Oreochromis niloticus: one gene and its partner. The protein of the gene in region 2 purifies or fractionates together with the protein of the main gene of each other region. This does not show direct contact. Links are inferred from orthologs where the notes say so. Each region holds a gene or a part of one and is shown on either strand. Other genes may lie near its edges.

Region 1 (8,351 bases), about 14 Mb from region 2:
TTTAGTTCCAGCTAAGACAACTCTTTTAAGTATTAATAACTGTATGTCAATCAAAACTTCCCGTAATCGTTTGCACTGACCACAGTCGGGCCTCTTCACGACTTTAACACAAGTGATGAGGAATAAAACCTAAAATCCTTTCTCCATGTAAAGATTTTATGCAGGTTTTTTTTTCTCATTTTGTTCATCACCGTTTATCAATCCTTAACTGGCAAGCATCTCTTATGCATTAACATAAGAGGGACGTAACTGATGCCAACATTTAAAGCGATGGCAAAGAAAAATCAACCTCTCAATAAAAACAAGCACAAATGAAAGAAAGGAAACAGTGCAGAAAAAGGTTTAATCTTCAAAACGTGTTTGTTCGCATTTGCCAACATTTAAATTGTCCTGTTTTGATTCAAGCTACAAATCTAAGTCCAGTATGCAGTACATATAGAAAGATTAATATGTTAAAGACTGCATAGATATCATTAAAATGCATAAATCATTTGAGCTATGTAATTTAAAAAATCAGGATAGAAAGACATTTTTTTAAAAATCACATTATTGTGCAGAATTATTGCCTCTGGAAGCAAAGCTGCTCTTTTAAGTAAAGAGCAGCTTTGATTTAGTAGTTTGAATTAGTAGTCTGTTTTCATCGCTGCTGCCTCTTCAGTTCATGGACGTCTCACACCCCGTACTTGCTGATGACTTCTTTAGCCTTTGCGATGTAGGCCGACATGGCGTCCTCCTTGGACATTCCTGAAAGAGTTCAAATTACGAGTGATTTGGACTTAAATAATAATGTCTTAAAGGAGTTTTCTCCTATTAGTATACATGCTTAGAGAGCCTTTCACCCATAGCACTGAAAAGCTGGTTAAACTATGGGAGAAATTCTCATGATGAAGATGCTTAGAAAAGATCAGGTCTTTTTATTGGTAATAAATCTAAAAAAAAAAAAAAAGTATTTCCCCTGGCAGCACAGAACGCTTCCTTTAATGAGCTCAACAGGTTCCGATAAATCACCACCATGGAAGCTGGCATCTGGGTTGTGTTTTTGTTATGGTAACGTGGGCGATAGTAGCTCAAGAGTTGGCAGTTCGTCTTGTAATCGGAAGGTTGCCGGTTTGAGCCCCGGCTCGTACAGTCTCGGTCGTTGTGTCCTTGGGCAAGACACTTCACCCACTGCCTACTGGTGGTAGTCAGAGGGCCCGGTGGCGCCAGTGTCCAGCAGCCTCGCCTCTGTCAGTGCGCCCCAGGGCAGCTGTAGCTACAATTTAGCTTGCCATCACCAGTGTGTGAATGACTGAATGTAGTGTAAAGCGCTTTGGGGTCCTTAGGGATTAAGTAAAGCGCTATACAAATACAGGTCATTTACCATTTAAGTAAAGATATAAAACTTTAAAACACTGGATTTTTAAAAATCTGTATGTATATTTGTGCAGTGTTTTTGGGATCATTGTTGCCAGATTAGGTCACAGATTAGTTTTTTGGGGAATGACGTTGTTGGTGTAAAAATATGAAATTATTCCTGTCAAACTGTGTTATCTTTGGCCTTTTTCATAGCTTCAGCAAAAGACATGTGAACAAATGATGTGTTTGTGCAACAGGCTGCTAGTAACAAAGGGCCTAAAGATAACGATTAAAAATGGTACTTTGATCAGTTGTCTGTTATGTGTAGACGAAGCTCTCGTTCATTAGCTCGAGTTAGGTTACTATTTATTCCTTGAATGATTCAGTGTTAAATGGCTTAACAAATAAAACAGTTCCTCTGAAAATAGTCAGGTACAAGGACTGGACTGAAAATTAGCTAAAGGAGCAAACAATGTCCAAAGGCAAACTTTGAAAGACCTTCAGAAAGCCCGGAGAGCTATTGCTCAAGATCATTTACATTGTCTGAGTCATTGGAAGCAAAATACAAAGAAATGAGTGGTGCTCAACACCACCCTTTGACTCTTTGCACAAGTGTGATGTCACTAAAAATGAACCTATTACAACAAAATCTGCGTGTAGTCACCTTTTTCTCAAGTACTCAACACTAAACACAGACTTGCAGAAACAGCTCGTGTGCAGCTGAATCATGGAGTTGACCTGCAAATGCCTTAACTCAACATTTTTTGAGGGTAATTTTACTTTAAAAAATAAATTTAAAAAAATCAATGAATATGCGAGTAAAATTAAAAAGTTCCTGTGATGTTGGATGAAACTAAGTGGTGAAAATATTTGGATATTTTGACAATGACTAACTTCTAATTTCCTAAAAGTTACCTCCTGTGAGTCTTATTTGACACTGAACACACCTAATTTGGAGCAGATTCCTCCATGTTCGGAGTTGAGCTCATGCTCCACAAACATGTTTTACGAAATTCATTCTCATGATTTACACCTGTGGACTCAGCAGGTTTTGAGTACTAAATAGGCTACTCTGCAGGCAACCAGGAGGTGGAGCCCCACCAGTCTGCATGCATCCTTGCATCCAGTGAAGTGTAAATGTGTGTGTGTGGCTCGTAGTGTAAAAGAACCAGTTCTTTTACCTTATTTAGTACAGAAAAATACCAAAAACTGTTCCAGCTGTGAACTTGGGAAAAAATATCTGTCTCATATATCCTTGTATGATCTATAACCTGCTAATAAATCACTTTTCCAGCACCTTCAGTTAAAGTGTTTAGTTCTCATGGACAAATTTAACAATCACAAGCTTTCCTAACTCGTTACCTTTCCTCGACTCCCAGGCGTCCCACTTGGCCTTTCCTTTTAGGTCCAGCATTCCCGGTCTCTCTACAGTTGTGAAAGCACACAGAGAGGAGGAGAAAAAATCTGAACTTAGTGAACTCTTTATGGGAGTGATTCAGTTTCTCTGTAGCGGGTCCTACCAGTGTTAATGTCTCCAACAACCGCCTGTTTATAAAGGGCATACAGGAACAGCAGCTCCTCGTCTGTGGGCTTGGCCTTCACCTTCTTCACATCATCTGCTGCCTTGTCAAATTCTGCCTGCAGGTGACATGAACACTCTTTATGTTTACGATTAAATTTTCAGAAAACATAAGCAGTGTGTCTGTGATGGGAAAACACTGGACTGGAGGATTTCTTCTCTTTGCAATAAAGTCCAGCAGGAATGTAAAGTAATTACATCGAATACGAGAGTGTGCATATTAATGAGTTACAAGCACTGAATAAGAAATGTGAGTGTGGTATTCTAGGCACGGGGCAGTCCTGGGAAACTGATTGTTGCACAAGCTGGAGATAAACAATGGGCTTTTATATGAGACCAGAGCCTGTGTGCCTACTCAAATAATCTGCTTTTCAAAGGATCTGGGACACAGCAGAACTGATAATTATAGACCACAGGAACCATTTTTTATATGCACAAACACCTAAAAACCTTTTAACTCTTTACTGAGGTGACGCTGAAATATATAATGATCCAGCTCTGAATGCTGACGATTGGTCAAAAAGCGGATGTTTGTATATAGATCCAGTTTACCTCCACATGTTCTCATTTCTCACAGAGACAAACTCTAAATCTAGTGAATTTTCATCGGGAAATCTCTAAATTCTAAGAGCAGCATCAGGACCACTGAGCCGAGAGCATTAACGCGTTTAGGCACGACTTTCCTTCATCCACCCTTCACACGCCGTCAAAGATGGATGACTGCATACGGCCAGAAGACGGCATGCGCTGTTCGGTTCATCGCGACAATGTAGCATCTAATAAATAATAATAACAATAATAAAAGAGCAAAGAAACGCAGGATTTTACCTGGAGGGTCATCTTGGTAAAGGTAAAGGCTGGGAGCGCAGATGAATGTCCTGCCCTGAAGGGTTTTAAGCAGCAGTAATTGCAGCACAGCTGATCGATGCACTATTGAGAGTAAAGCAGAGGCTTGTAGGGGAGGGAGCAGACAGCTGCAGAGGTGCTGATTGGCTGCCTGTCACCCTCACTCACAGCGACACACACACGCACACGGACTTTAATAAAATGGGGAGATATAGTGGACTATGGCACCTAGTCCACTGACTACTGAGACTTTATGACGTGTCATTTGCAACAGTGTAATAAATTTAGGGAGATATAATCATATCAGTTCAGCAGGATTAATACAACCTCTACCACAATATGCTTCCTACACAGAACTCCGTGCAATAATATTATTTTAAAAATCTGCCCAAAATGCTGACTAATTTCATTACATATAAATTTTTGTATTATTATTATTAGATTTGATTTTTTGTTACACAAGTACAGTGTGAAGTGTTACCATTAATGGAGTCTGCTCAAATGAAATTTACTTGGTTCGTGCACATTCAGTTTATACGAAACACATTTCCCTTAACGATAAAGTATTTGAATAAATAAACCTTTGATTTTATATGTTTCATTTTTATTCATATTATTGCTTGGTGTTTATTGATCACCTTTGAGGGTATTTAAACTAATTGATTAATTGATTGAGAAAGGCCTCCTTTATATTTCCTGTGCTCGTGCACTTTTACTCCAGCTGATTCATGAAGGAGACTTCATGCACTTTTCCCTACATCAGACTCTACAGTGTCAGATAACAGTGTTCGCCGCCTCTTTAACTCCACTTTCACTGCCTTCGCTGACTCTTTGATGATTTGACTGTCATGTCGCCCTTTCACCGCTGTTCGGCGCTGTGGAGCTTTTTAAATAAAGTTATTTAAATTGAAACAAAATGGCAGCGCCCTGTGTGTCTCTCATGCAGCTGGGCTGAAGCTGTAAAGAAGACGAGGAGAAATGCGTTATCTGCTTTAACCACAGGTAACGGCGGCTGTGTTTGTTTTTAATGCTTCTGCAGAAGCGAAAGGTTTTTTATTAGAGCCGAAGAAGATCTGAAATTTAACGACATTTCCATGTGGGTTAAAGAAATGCGAAATAAAAACGTTGCTAATCGTATTAGTTTATAATGGCGTTGTTTGTTTGTTTAGTCTGATTTTTGGATACAAATTTTTAACAAATGTGATCTTGTTTTTCTCTATTTTATCCACTCATCTTAAAATGTCCTTTATTCCTCTTAGTCGTGTTTACTCTTTTCTGCTTTTACTTTTTTACCTTTTAAACAAACAAGGAAATAAAAAAAGATTCTGGTATGCGTTTTTTATATGTGAATAAGCTGTTTAACTCATCTTTGGCATTTCTGTGCTTTAATTTAACATCAGCAATGATTTACATTTACTGGCCAGTTCATTAGGTACATCTTCCTTGTGCTGGGTTGGACTCCCATTTGCCTTAAGAACTGCTTTTTTTTTCTTCATGAAAGATTCTTGGGGGATCAACATGTGATACGTGTTGACGATGTGAATCTCCTGTTCCACCAGATCACAAAGGTGCTCTATCTGATTGAGATCTGGTGATTGTGGAGGTTAGGTACAGTGAACTCATCTGATTGCCTTCACTACCAGTCAGGTGAACGGTGTACTTAATAAAGTGTCCAGTGATTGTATGCCAGACTCTAAAGCAGTTTTTCCTCTCTTTTCTTACAGTGTCGGTTGTTTTATGCTTCAAACAGTCATGGCAGCTCCCGGAAAGCCGACTAAAAAGGAAATCAAAAAGCAGACTCCAGCCAAGACCTCCTTCACCTCACCCTTTGCCTCAAAATGGAGCCCGCTCCCCCAAGAGGACATGCACTTCATCCTGAAAACTCTTAAGGACAAGTTGATCTCCATGGGTCTGGAAAAAAAAGAAGTGAAAGGGTTTCGCATATGGAGGAAAAAGAAAGGCAAAAAACCTGATGTCGCACCGGAACCTGTTCCCCAGGAGAGCGATTCCTCCAAAAACGGCTGGACAGATGTGGCAGCCAGACGGCAGCTGGCCATCGGCATCAACGAGGTGACCAAGGCTCTGGAGAGAAACGAACTCAGACTGCTGCTCGTGTGCAAGTCTGTCAAACCGAAACACATGACCAATCACCTGATCGCTCTGAGCGCCACCAGAGGAGTGCCGGCCTGCCAGGTGCCTCGCCTGAGCCAGAGCGTGTCGGAGCCGCTGGGGCTGAAAAGCGTGCTCGCCCTGGGGTTCAGACGGTGCTCCTCCAGTGACAATGGGGTGTTTACCGACACTGTCGATGCCATTAAGCCCAGAGTGCCTTCACTGGACATGGCATGGCTGCAAGGTGCTAAACCTGAAGAACCTGTTGCCATGGAGGAGGAGGAAGGTGGTGAAAGAAGGGGACAAAAAAGGAAACTGGAAAGTGAATATGAGGGGGTGTCAGAGTCTCCCTCCTCCTGCACTCTGCAGCCGCTCCAGGTGAAGAGAATCGTTGCTAACCCTGCAAAGAAGAAGAAAGGGAAGCCGAAGAAATAGCTGTAAAGTGAAAGAGAAACTTTAAGGACTGTTTGTTTAGCTCAGGAGTTTCCAGTGTTGTTTATTTTTGGGTTTTTGAACAGTGCTTGCAGCCTCAGTCTGGACATAACTTATGTGATTAGTTTATATAAAGAATTTCTGGAAGCTTAAAGAGAAAAAAAGGTTTTTGGGAACAAGGTTTAGACTTTTCTGCCAAGTATTTTTATCTGGGGAAGCCTCAGACCTTCAGGTTTGCATTCATTGTTTCAGCAGATTAGTAGCATTGCATATGGTTTCATGCATATTCATACAATTGAATATGATCTGACTGAAGTTTGAATTTCATTTTGTCCACAATTAAAGCCGGTCTGCACACATTGTTTTTTATAAAGGCAATTAAGTTTTTCCCGGTATTTTGATAGTGCTGTTTGTTTTAAATGGAGCTTGTAATATTTTACCCTCGAATGAAATATATTTCCTCTATATAATACAGAGGACTGCCATTAGACCACCAACATCTTGGAGCTGTTGTGCTGGATTGCTCAGGTACTAAGTAGAAAGTAGTAGTCTATTTATGTTGAAATGTAAGCAGAATTTTAGACCTCAGGTAGGCACAAATGAACCAACTTAATGATCATTTTCCAATTTTAATTTGCTGTAAATATCTATAGATGGACAAAGGTACTGGGAGATTACATCACTTGGTTGAATTGGGAATGTCTTGATCCCCTCCTGGGAGAGGGAGGTCTGAGTTCCTCTGCTTAGACTGCTGGTCCCGTGACCCGGATAAGCAGAAGATCGATGGCTGGAAGGGAAAGATTAAGATCAATAGAAAGATCCTTTATTAATCCTTTGCAGGAAATGACATTGCCTCTGCAGACACAGACATAACACCACACATCCCAAACAAAATATCAGCTCCATTACTTATTTCTGATAAAGTTAGTATGAATAAATAAAACTATCAATAACTAACATGGACTAACTACATGGATCTCTTCTCAAGTTTTTAGAGTCGCAGGAGAGCTGAACCTTATTCCAGCAGACATAGGGTGAGAGGCAGGGTATAGCAGCATGTCGCAGAGCTGAAACAGTGACAGTCATTTATACCTATGAGCAATTTAGAATCCCCAGTTAACCTAACCCCCACTAACTGCATGTCTTTGGACTGTGGGAGAAACCCGAGCACGCAGAGAGTACCCTGTGTTCTTGATAAAGAATTCCGAGTATCCATCTATCCATTCTCTTCTGCTTATCCTGTGTGAGGAAGCCAAAGTACCTGGAAGGAACACAGAAAAGATCCCAGCCTGATGGTGGAATTGAACTGAGGACCTTTTTGCTGTGAGGCAACAGTGCTAACCACCGTGCTGCCTGAATTACAAATACTTAAATTCAAAATATGTGCTGTGAAAAACTGTTTCGTGCAGTGCGTCACAAAGGAGTCATGACTCGTGTTCCTTTTTAAAGTGAGTTTATTCAATCAAATATCCATGCTGGTATAGCCGACGTGTGTTGAAACAGATTGTTATTTGCATGGGGTCATGTCTAAATGATGCTGGTACAAGTTCTTCAGCTTTTTCACAGCTTACAATGGAATTGAATAAAAATATTGTTCTTCAGTTAGAGAAAGCTTTATGACATTTCAAAAGTACACCCTCCCTCACCCCACCTCCAAACCTTAAAAAAACAAAACAAAAAACAACCTTTAAATAAGGCAGGTACTTCTGACCGAGTTCTCGCTAAAGGGCGTGGCTAGAAACATTGATGCTATAAATCAACGCAGCAGCGAAACAGACATGCTCAGAGTTCATTCAGACAGCTGCAAGCAACACATCTGTGACACAGCAACATCCATGAGGCACACAGCTTTGACTCAGCGACCCACTCTCAGTTAAATTAATGCCAGGAACACATTTGGAGAAGATAACGTCATTCAACCTTTAAGTGATTTAAAAAAACCAAAAAACATCTTTGAGCCCTGAAGCACCAACAGGACAAATATTTATCCTCTTCTGGCTAATCTATAAAGGGATGATTAGAAAAGTACATCAAATATTAACAATAAAGT
Region 2 (8,143 bases):
CTCCACACCTGTCTGCTAGGTGACCTGTGACATGTTAAAACAGCGCTAAATTGCTGATGATACTACACCTATAATTACATCAGTTTCACACTTTTCAATGGTTTTAGCTCTTTCTAGTTTTTGCTTGTTTAATGTACTTGTTAGGAAGTGCCGGTCAGAGGGCCCAAAACAGCAATTGCTTCAATTTCAACCAGTCCACCCTGGAGAAAGAGACAGCATCAGCACAGTGAGAATTGTGGTTTTCAGTTGGGTTCAAAGCACAAAAGAATAACTGGATAAAAAAAACGGTCTTTGTCAAGTACTCACTCGAGGGAGAGCAGCGACCTGATAGGCAGCCCTGGCTGGGAAGTTGGTGCTAAAGACTAAAGAAAGCAGCTGAGTTAGGCCACCAACACATTTACACATACAGACTTTCAATGACTCAGACACACATATAGAATCTACAGAAGCTTACAGGACTGCAAAGCAGCCAATTAACTACTGGTACCTGGCATTTATAGTGTTGCCCTTGTCTGACATGCCTTTATATCAACTGATAAAACAAGCAAGCTCTTTATAGTGACTGTCAGAGTAGGAGAAACACAGGTGTGCGAGTACACAAACTAGGGCTCTACTTCATCATCAGTCAGCTTGAACAAGCAGTTATTAGTCTCATTAGTTCCACTTTTGGATTTACATAGACCTGCACTGAATCAACAAGAGAACATTTATCTTTTAATGTGACAATTTTAATCTGCACAGCAATTTAACTCTGTTCACACATATTAGACACAATTTACATCAAATATATAAAATTCAGTGTATGATTATCATACAGTTTCACACAAATTTCATCAGTACAAAACACCACATTATTAGATGCACAATGGGAAATGTATTACAATGAAAAGCCGCAGCAATAATTAATACACATTAATGAGTCACTACAGACTGCACTTGATTGTGCTGGGCACTGCGCTACAAAGTTATCTCTGGTTATCTCTCTATTATCTGGATTCACTGAACCTAACACTTGTGATCACAAAGGTGGTTATCCACTCACTGAGTTAACCAATGGTTTCCTGATTGAGGTATGAGCGCATTCACACAAAAGTAAGAAATTAACAATAAAAAGTAAAAAATAAAGACTAAATACAAACTCCATCTGTACAATTTATATATTAATGCTTAAAGAACAAAATTGTAACATGTTTGTAGCCAAAAGGTTAAATTAAAAAAAATATCTGTATTTATTACTGATGCTATTAAAGACTTTAGACACTCCTATTCTCGGTGCACAGAGGTTTGAGGGATCTTCAAGTAATGGTGACGCTATTTTCTGGAGACTTGACTGGTCAGTAGGTGGTGATTTCATACCTGTTGACCTCTAATATGGAAGCACAAGTTACCATGGCGATGTACCCTGGTAAGAAGTGAACCACACTTGTAGTACAGAAAACTCGGGGTTAACCCCAAAGCTACCTGGATATGATGAGTTCCTGTTTTGTAGTACAGGCCTCGGCTCAGGCAGCAGAATTTATGCCTTTGTTGTTCTTGTCGGTTCATGTAACCGCAGCATAGCTGCACCCAACTTCAACCATAGCAAAAGCCTAATCAGCCAGAATAAAGTGAAAACACCTGTGAGGGGCCTTTAAAGACAGAGGTGGACTGAAAGAATAATCTGATTTTGACTGTACTGATGTAATCACTGATAATGGACTCAACGCAGAGTGCATCAACCTGGGTGCTTGGATCAGTTAATTGTAGGAGCAATACCTGAATTAACTGGCATTAGAAAAATGTGTAGTTATCTTTTCTACCATACTACTTAAACAATGAAATGGATATGGGGGCTTTGTGAATAGACTTAAAGTTTTTTATTTAATCTATGGAATGTCAGATGTGGCAGTCTGTCGTCTGACATTTAGATTAAGATTAAGATCTGTTGGTGGGGAAAGCTCAGGTTTCACTCTGCTAAGTGACTCAGCAAATGTCAGCGTTCCCTGTGAGTGTTTGGACTCTGCCCCTGTGTTTCTGAATATTTATTTCATAATTCAACTTGCTCTGGAGTTTCCACAGCATATTTAGAATATGAAGAGGCAAATTCAAGCACCGGTTGATTTATTGTAAAGGCCTTCTGGGTGAATACATTACTGGAAAAATAAAGAGTCTATAAAATCTGCTTGTTATGCAGCAGCGCTGTATGTCGTCTGGACTGTGCTGACACCTGGTGGCTAACGTTGTATTGCAAAATGAAGGCCAACAGCAGCAGATAACTCCAAACACATACTGATACACATTAATAACTAAATCATTGATACTCACATTGTTTGTACACGTCATTGACACTGGTGAAGTCGTTCATATCGGCTAAGAGCACTGTGGTTTTGACAACTTCAGGAAATAACAAGAAAAGAAAGAAAATAGTGCATGATCAGGTCTGTGGTTGAAAAGTTGAAAGAATTCTTCTGTGCACATGCAAAGAAAGGCAAGGCTCTCTCACCATTGGTGTAACCACACCCAGCAGCCCTGAGTATTTCACCCATATTCACCAGAGCCTGAAGAAACAGAAGTCATGTACATGATTGTGCAAAAGTAATTCTCACTTTGTGATGACTTTCATATCCTCATTCATCCTGCAGGAAGGATGCATTTGACCAGTCTTAAATTTATTCTGCAGCATTACAGAGAATTAAGGAATTGGCCCCCTGCAGGAAAACTGGTGGGTTTTTTCAAAAGGCACTATTTTTAAAAGCATTGTCACTAGATTTTCTTTTAAATAATGGACTGCATGTATTCACACTGTAGCAGTCTCTTAATTGTTTGGTTGTGAGCTCAACTCCATTGCAATTATCTCAGCAGTTAGGAATTAGGAACATCTACTGATGTCTGGATCGCTTTCAAGTGTCGCTGTACTCCATGTTTATGAATGAATGAAGGAATGAATCAGTGATGATGGGGATTCCAGTGTCACCTGTCTGGTTTGAGCCTGAACACCACCTTCCACCAGCTGTCCACTGGCAGGGTCCATTCCCAGCTGTCCTGAAATATACATGGTTCGATCCACCACCACTGCTTGGCTGGAAAACACACACAAACACGCACGGACAAAGGCTTAGCTACTCTGGGTTTATTTCGTTCAGAGTGTTAAATCTTATTGTCCTTTCTGGTGATCTTTGCTAAATAAAGATTTACTAATAATGAAGGAAGTGAGGTTAAAAAAGTTGTATGTTTGCTTGACTATTCCGTCACTTATCTCTCCATGTGTAGGTTTTTAACTGAGGGTTATTGTTTTTTTTTCAAATATTTCTTTTAAATAAGAGATTCACAAAATTGCATTTATGTCCCTTTCTGTCTTTTAATAATAAATACACAGTTTCTTTTCTCGATAAGGGGAACACTCTCTTTATACCTGTGAGGAGTCTTGAAGTCATTTTTCTGTGCCCCTATTAAACATATATGTGGGACTGCTTACCTGCATTTGTACAAGAACTCTAAAATTAGAAACATCTTGTCTCAGAGTGATGCTGAAAAACTAATTCATGCATTTATTTCTTCTAGGCGGGACTATTGTAACTCATTATTATCAGGATGTCCTAAAAACTACCTAAAAAGCCTTCAGTTGATCATAGTATCAAAGTACCATATCACCCCAGTAAAGCACTACTGGTATAACTGTTTCCTACGATATTTCAAAGCAGAATGGGAAGCAGAGGTTTCAGCTTCCAGGCCCTTCTTCTGTGGAACCAGCTCTCTATGCAGATGTGAGTGACAGAAACCCTCTGTGCTTTTAGGATTAGGCTTAAACTTCAGTTAGAGCTGGATCAGGAGGGTCGTCTGATTGTTGGGGTCTTCACTGTATTATTTTAGGCTCTTTACCAAACAATATAAAAAAAAACTCGAGGCGACTGGTGTCGTGACTTGACGTCATATAAATAAAATTGAATTAAATTAAATTAATTGCAGACTAAAGTATTGAAAAACCGCGGGCACAGTTTGCTGTTTATCTTCATTGTTTAACATTTTAGTGGTGTGTGTAGAGTTTAAAGTGCAACATCCAAAAGTCTGAACTTTGCTCCCAAAAGCTCTGAGGGCATATGCTATCCCACCTCTCCCAGCAGTAATCTTATGGACGAAACAGTGAACTCAGTATCGCTGTATTACCCGATTAAGCAAAAAAGTCGTGGTCTGTCATCAGTGAATTGGCAGTCAGTGCTATTAACAGTGCAAATGTAATGTAGGTTGGTGCTGCGGCAGGTGTGTGCCAGCTGTAACTTTAACCTTAGGGCAATGATTCAAAGCTCTTCTCACCTGTACGGACCGATAGCAGCAGGAGCTTTAGCTGTGCTGATAATCCTCCTGATTAGTGCAGCCATTTCACTGGAAATCTATCGGCCCAAGTGAAAAAAGTAAGTTGTACAACAGAAGGCTGCAAGCAGAAAACGCGCTGATGTCAGAAGGACGTCAGAGCTACTTTACCGTAAAAGACATATTACATGCGCAAACACGTTTCCCTTTACACATTTTAGTTCCAAAACTGGTCACCTCAGACATTTTACAACTCAAGCAAGAGACAATAGTGACAACATATCATATAATCTTAAGAAAACGTACCTTGGTTTTTATTGGATTTTTTTTGTTGACGCGCTAATACTCTACAAAGCCCCCTGAACACGTCATATCCGGAAGCAAACAAGACCAGCACCAGCATGAGGAAACCTCACATGGTAGCTAAACGTAAAACTAGAGGGTCCCTGCGGCTGGAACAGCGTTTCTGACACACATCACGCTGGGGAACCTTGAGGTAACCTTATGAAGTGTAATTCCTCTGGACGTTTGGTATAGAAATGTTTTAGCTTTGGTTTTGTTAGTTAAAACAACTCCCCAACTTTACGCCAGGTAACGTTGCTAGCAAGCTGGCGTTTTAGCTCAGCATTCAACTGTTTGGGTTATAAGCTGCTCGCATAGCGAGGTCTCAAGCGTGTTATTGTATCTTACAGAAAATGTCTGCGGCTAAAGTCAAAATGCGGGAGAAGAAGATGAGAAATCAGCCCGCCAGTGTGCAGTATCCATCTTCTTCATCTAACGTGGAGAGCAGCACACAGAATGGAGCAGACGCCCCTGGCACCGGTACTCAGCCTTCTCTGGTTATTTCACGTACCTATTACATATTAAACTGGAAGAAGGACCAGCGAGTCCCCTACAGTAATGCAGAACAAAGCGCACATATGTTTTTCTTCCAGTCTTCCACGCATGAAATGGATTCTTGTATAAAAAGTTACTGCCAAAATGGTTAAACCGGCAGATAATATAAACCACATAAGCAGAATAAAGCCAAGGTGAACTGAACAGATTTGCTCTCCTTGGACTGTATCATACATACTTGAAAGATAAGGTCATACATGACTGTATCTGATATAGCTATACATTAAATATCAAACACAACCGAACATTCTTCCTATTTAAGTATATGGATATATGTCATATCTCATATTTCTGCTACTTGCCATGCAGTGCGTCCAGAAAGTATTCACAGTGTGTCACTTGTTCCACGTGTTGTCATGGAAGACTCACAAAAACATGTTAGTTGTACCTTATTCCAAAATGGACTAAATTCTACATGAAAGATCTGATAATGACAAAGTGAAGAAGCTTGCCTGAAATTCTTGCAAATTTACTAAAGACAAAGGTATAACTTGTAGATGAGTATTCACGGCCTTTGCCATGACGCACAGATTCAAGCGCAAGTGGATCCTGTTTTAACTGATCGACTGTTTTCATAGCTGATTGGAGCCCACCTGTGGTAAATTCACCACTCATCACCTGGCCAGTACCATCCCGACAGTGGAGCATGGTGTTGGCAGCATCATGCTGAGGGATGTTTGTACATGTGCAGCAGCGTACAGAGACATCCTTTATGCTAACCTGCTCCAGAGCGCTCTGAGCCTCAGACTGGGTTGAAGGTTCATCTTCCAACGGCACAACAACCCTAAGCACACATCCAAGATAACAAACATAACTGATGATCCCCATCCAGCCTGATGGAGCTTGGGGGTCTGCAAAAAAGAATAAGAGAAACTGCCCAAAAATAGGTGTGCAGAGCTCATACCCAAAAAGACTTGAGGCTGTAATTGCAGCCAAAGGTGTTTCAACAAAGTCCTGAGCAAAGGCTCTCAGTCATCCAGATCATCGTAGTCTAAGGAGCCTGGAAAGAAAAGCGTCTGGACTTCTTTAAGTTTCTTGAAGATGTTTCATCCGAGAAGCTTTTTCAGTTCTAGGGTCAAATGGTGGAGAGTCCCAGATTTTAAGCCCTATGGGAGTGTCCCCCAAGAGGGTCATGGACCCCCTATTAATCCTTTACGTAATCACATGAGCCAAGGTGTGAAAACGGGTGTGGGTCAGAATCAGCCAAGGTTCGGGTGAACCCACTGTGAAACCTAGCCCCACCCTGTCATGTGACTTACTGAGGTCAGATGGCCAAGGATGTGAGTGGGCATTAAGGTGTCTGGGAAGGGATCTCAAAACTGGATTATAGATGGCAGACAGTTGGTGTCGTAAGGCACCGCCTCTGTTCAAAGAACATCTAGAGGGCATTCCAGGCATCTAGAGGACCCCCCTGTCCATGGTCACACTTAATTTGGGACAAATCGGAGCATTTATTGTGAAATAACCTGAGTTCAGGTCTAGCAGCACCTGTTGAACTTAGCTTTTTCCAACTGACATTAATAATTTTATGCAAGAATTTATTTCATGTGTAAGAGACCTTAGAGAAAACGATAATTGTTGCTTTGTTTTGTTGCACTTCTGGTAGGTGTATCTCAAAGTTTTGTGAGTCTTTCCTCTAGACTGTCTGTCACTTGGTTCTTATGATTTTTTTTTTTTTTTTTTTTTAAACCCTCCAAATTTTTTTCTTTCTAGTTCCTCATCTTCCTCTGTCATGTGCTGTTCATACAGTGAATATAGGGAACATATTTTTTCCAAGGGAGGAATCCCTTCTCATTAAGGTTGTTTCTATGATGAGATTCATGTGAAAAAGGAATAAACAAGCGGACAAAGATGTTATATGCCTTATTAAGTTGGGCGAGTTTACTCACATTTGTAGAGGCAGACCACACATGACTCACTCTCACTTTTGACAGGAGAAAATGCTGATCCTCTCAAAGGTGGTCTTTCGGAGGTGCACCCCTCTACAGAAAGGAAGAAGAAAACTCCCCACCAGAGCGGATGGGTCCGTGGACATCATAAAGATGGTGGTGGCTACACCAAGGAGATGCCCAAATACATCACTGGTAAAATCTCAACATTTTTAACATATTAAGTTTAATTCAGAGCATAGACAGTCATGAAAGAAATGAATTGTAAAGGTATTCATGAACAGTTACAGTCCAGTGAATGACTTCCATTTCCATCTTTACCTTCCTCACTCAGCTGGAGCTTTTGCAAGGGCCAGGGCTGCAGAGGTGAGCGCCATGTTGAAAGCTGTCAGAAAGACCACAAGCAGCAGCCATGTGTTTGAAGCTCTGCCCAAACACATGAGGAGACGAGCCATGAGCCACAACACCAAGCGGCTTCCTCACAGACTGAGAGAGGTGGCCAACAGAATGGTAAATTTCTGGACGTATTTTATTTTTAGCACTTTGTCTCACAAACACCTCCGTACCCTTGTTTTATATACAAAGTCCCCCACTCTGAGTACCTGGGACATGTCCACTCACTTTTCCTTCCTCTATCAGCGGGAGAAGAGCCTCCAGGCTGGCTCAAAAAAGAAGAAGGAGCCGGCAAAGAGCAAGAGCCGCAAGGCCCGGCGGCGCCATGGAAACCTGCTGTTGGAGTTCAACCGCCGTCAGCGGAAGAACATTTGGCTGGAAACGCACATTTGGCACGCCAAGCGCTTCCACATGGTTAAAAAGTGGGGTTACTGCCTCGGGGACAGGCCTACATACAAATGCTACCGGGCTTGCTACAGAGCAATGAGCAGCCACTGCCTCCTACAGGTAACCACCTGCTGTTCACACAGACTCTGTGAATAATTAGTTTTTATGTACTGTAATGTCTCTGCCTGGAACATCAGCTTACATTTCGCATTATTTCTGCTCAGGATCTCTCTTATTACTGCTGCATAGAGCTGCAGGGGGACGAAGACAAGCTTCTAGCTGCTCTTTCA

The links.
Region 1: the proteins of pop1 (region 2) and rpp38 purify together in Homo sapiens (affinity purification with mass spectrometry; 3 studies listed by BioGRID and IntAct, with this or other methods). This does not show direct contact. The link is inferred for Oreochromis niloticus from reciprocal best matches to the Homo sapiens genes POP1 and RPP38.

What each region holds. Positions count from the first base shown.
Region 1 is NC_031976.2:20,279,932-20,288,282, reverse strand, and holds rpp38 (ribonuclease P protein subunit p38), read left to right. Parts: upstream 1-4,614; 5' UTR 4,615-4,762; intron 4,763-5,319; exon of another isoform or gene 5,320-5,407; intron 5,408-5,484; 5' UTR 5,485-5,497; coding exon 5,498-6,304; 3' UTR 6,305-7,210; downstream 7,211-8,351. Other genes in the region: peroxisomal carnitine O-octanoyltransferase, read right to left, coding at 2,698-2,760, 2,856-2,973, 3,743-3,754. UniProt on the Homo sapiens protein: Component of ribonuclease P, a ribonucleoprotein complex that generates mature tRNA molecules by cleaving their 5'-ends. Also a component of the MRP ribonuclease complex, which cleaves pre-rRNA sequences.
Region 2 is NC_031976.2:6,409,355-6,417,497, reverse strand, and holds the start of pop1 (ribonucleases P/MRP protein subunit POP1), read left to right. Parts: upstream 1-4,647; 5' UTR 4,648-4,783; intron 4,784-4,979; 5' UTR 4,980-4,982; coding exon 4,983-5,109; intron 5,110-5,486; coding exon of another isoform or gene 5,487-5,489; exon of another isoform or gene 5,490-5,710; intron 5,711-7,118; coding exon 7,119-7,268; intron 7,269-7,407; coding exon 7,408-7,583; intron 7,584-7,712; coding exon 7,713-7,973; intron 7,974-8,077; coding exon 8,078-8,143. Other genes in the region: 2-iminobutanoate/2-iminopropanoate deaminase, read right to left, coding at 141-200, 307-362, 2,305-2,373, 2,483-2,537, 2,954-3,059, 4,291-4,367, 5,487-5,489. UniProt on the Homo sapiens protein: Component of ribonuclease P, a ribonucleoprotein complex that generates mature tRNA molecules by cleaving their 5'-ends. Also a component of the MRP ribonuclease complex, which cleaves pre-rRNA sequences.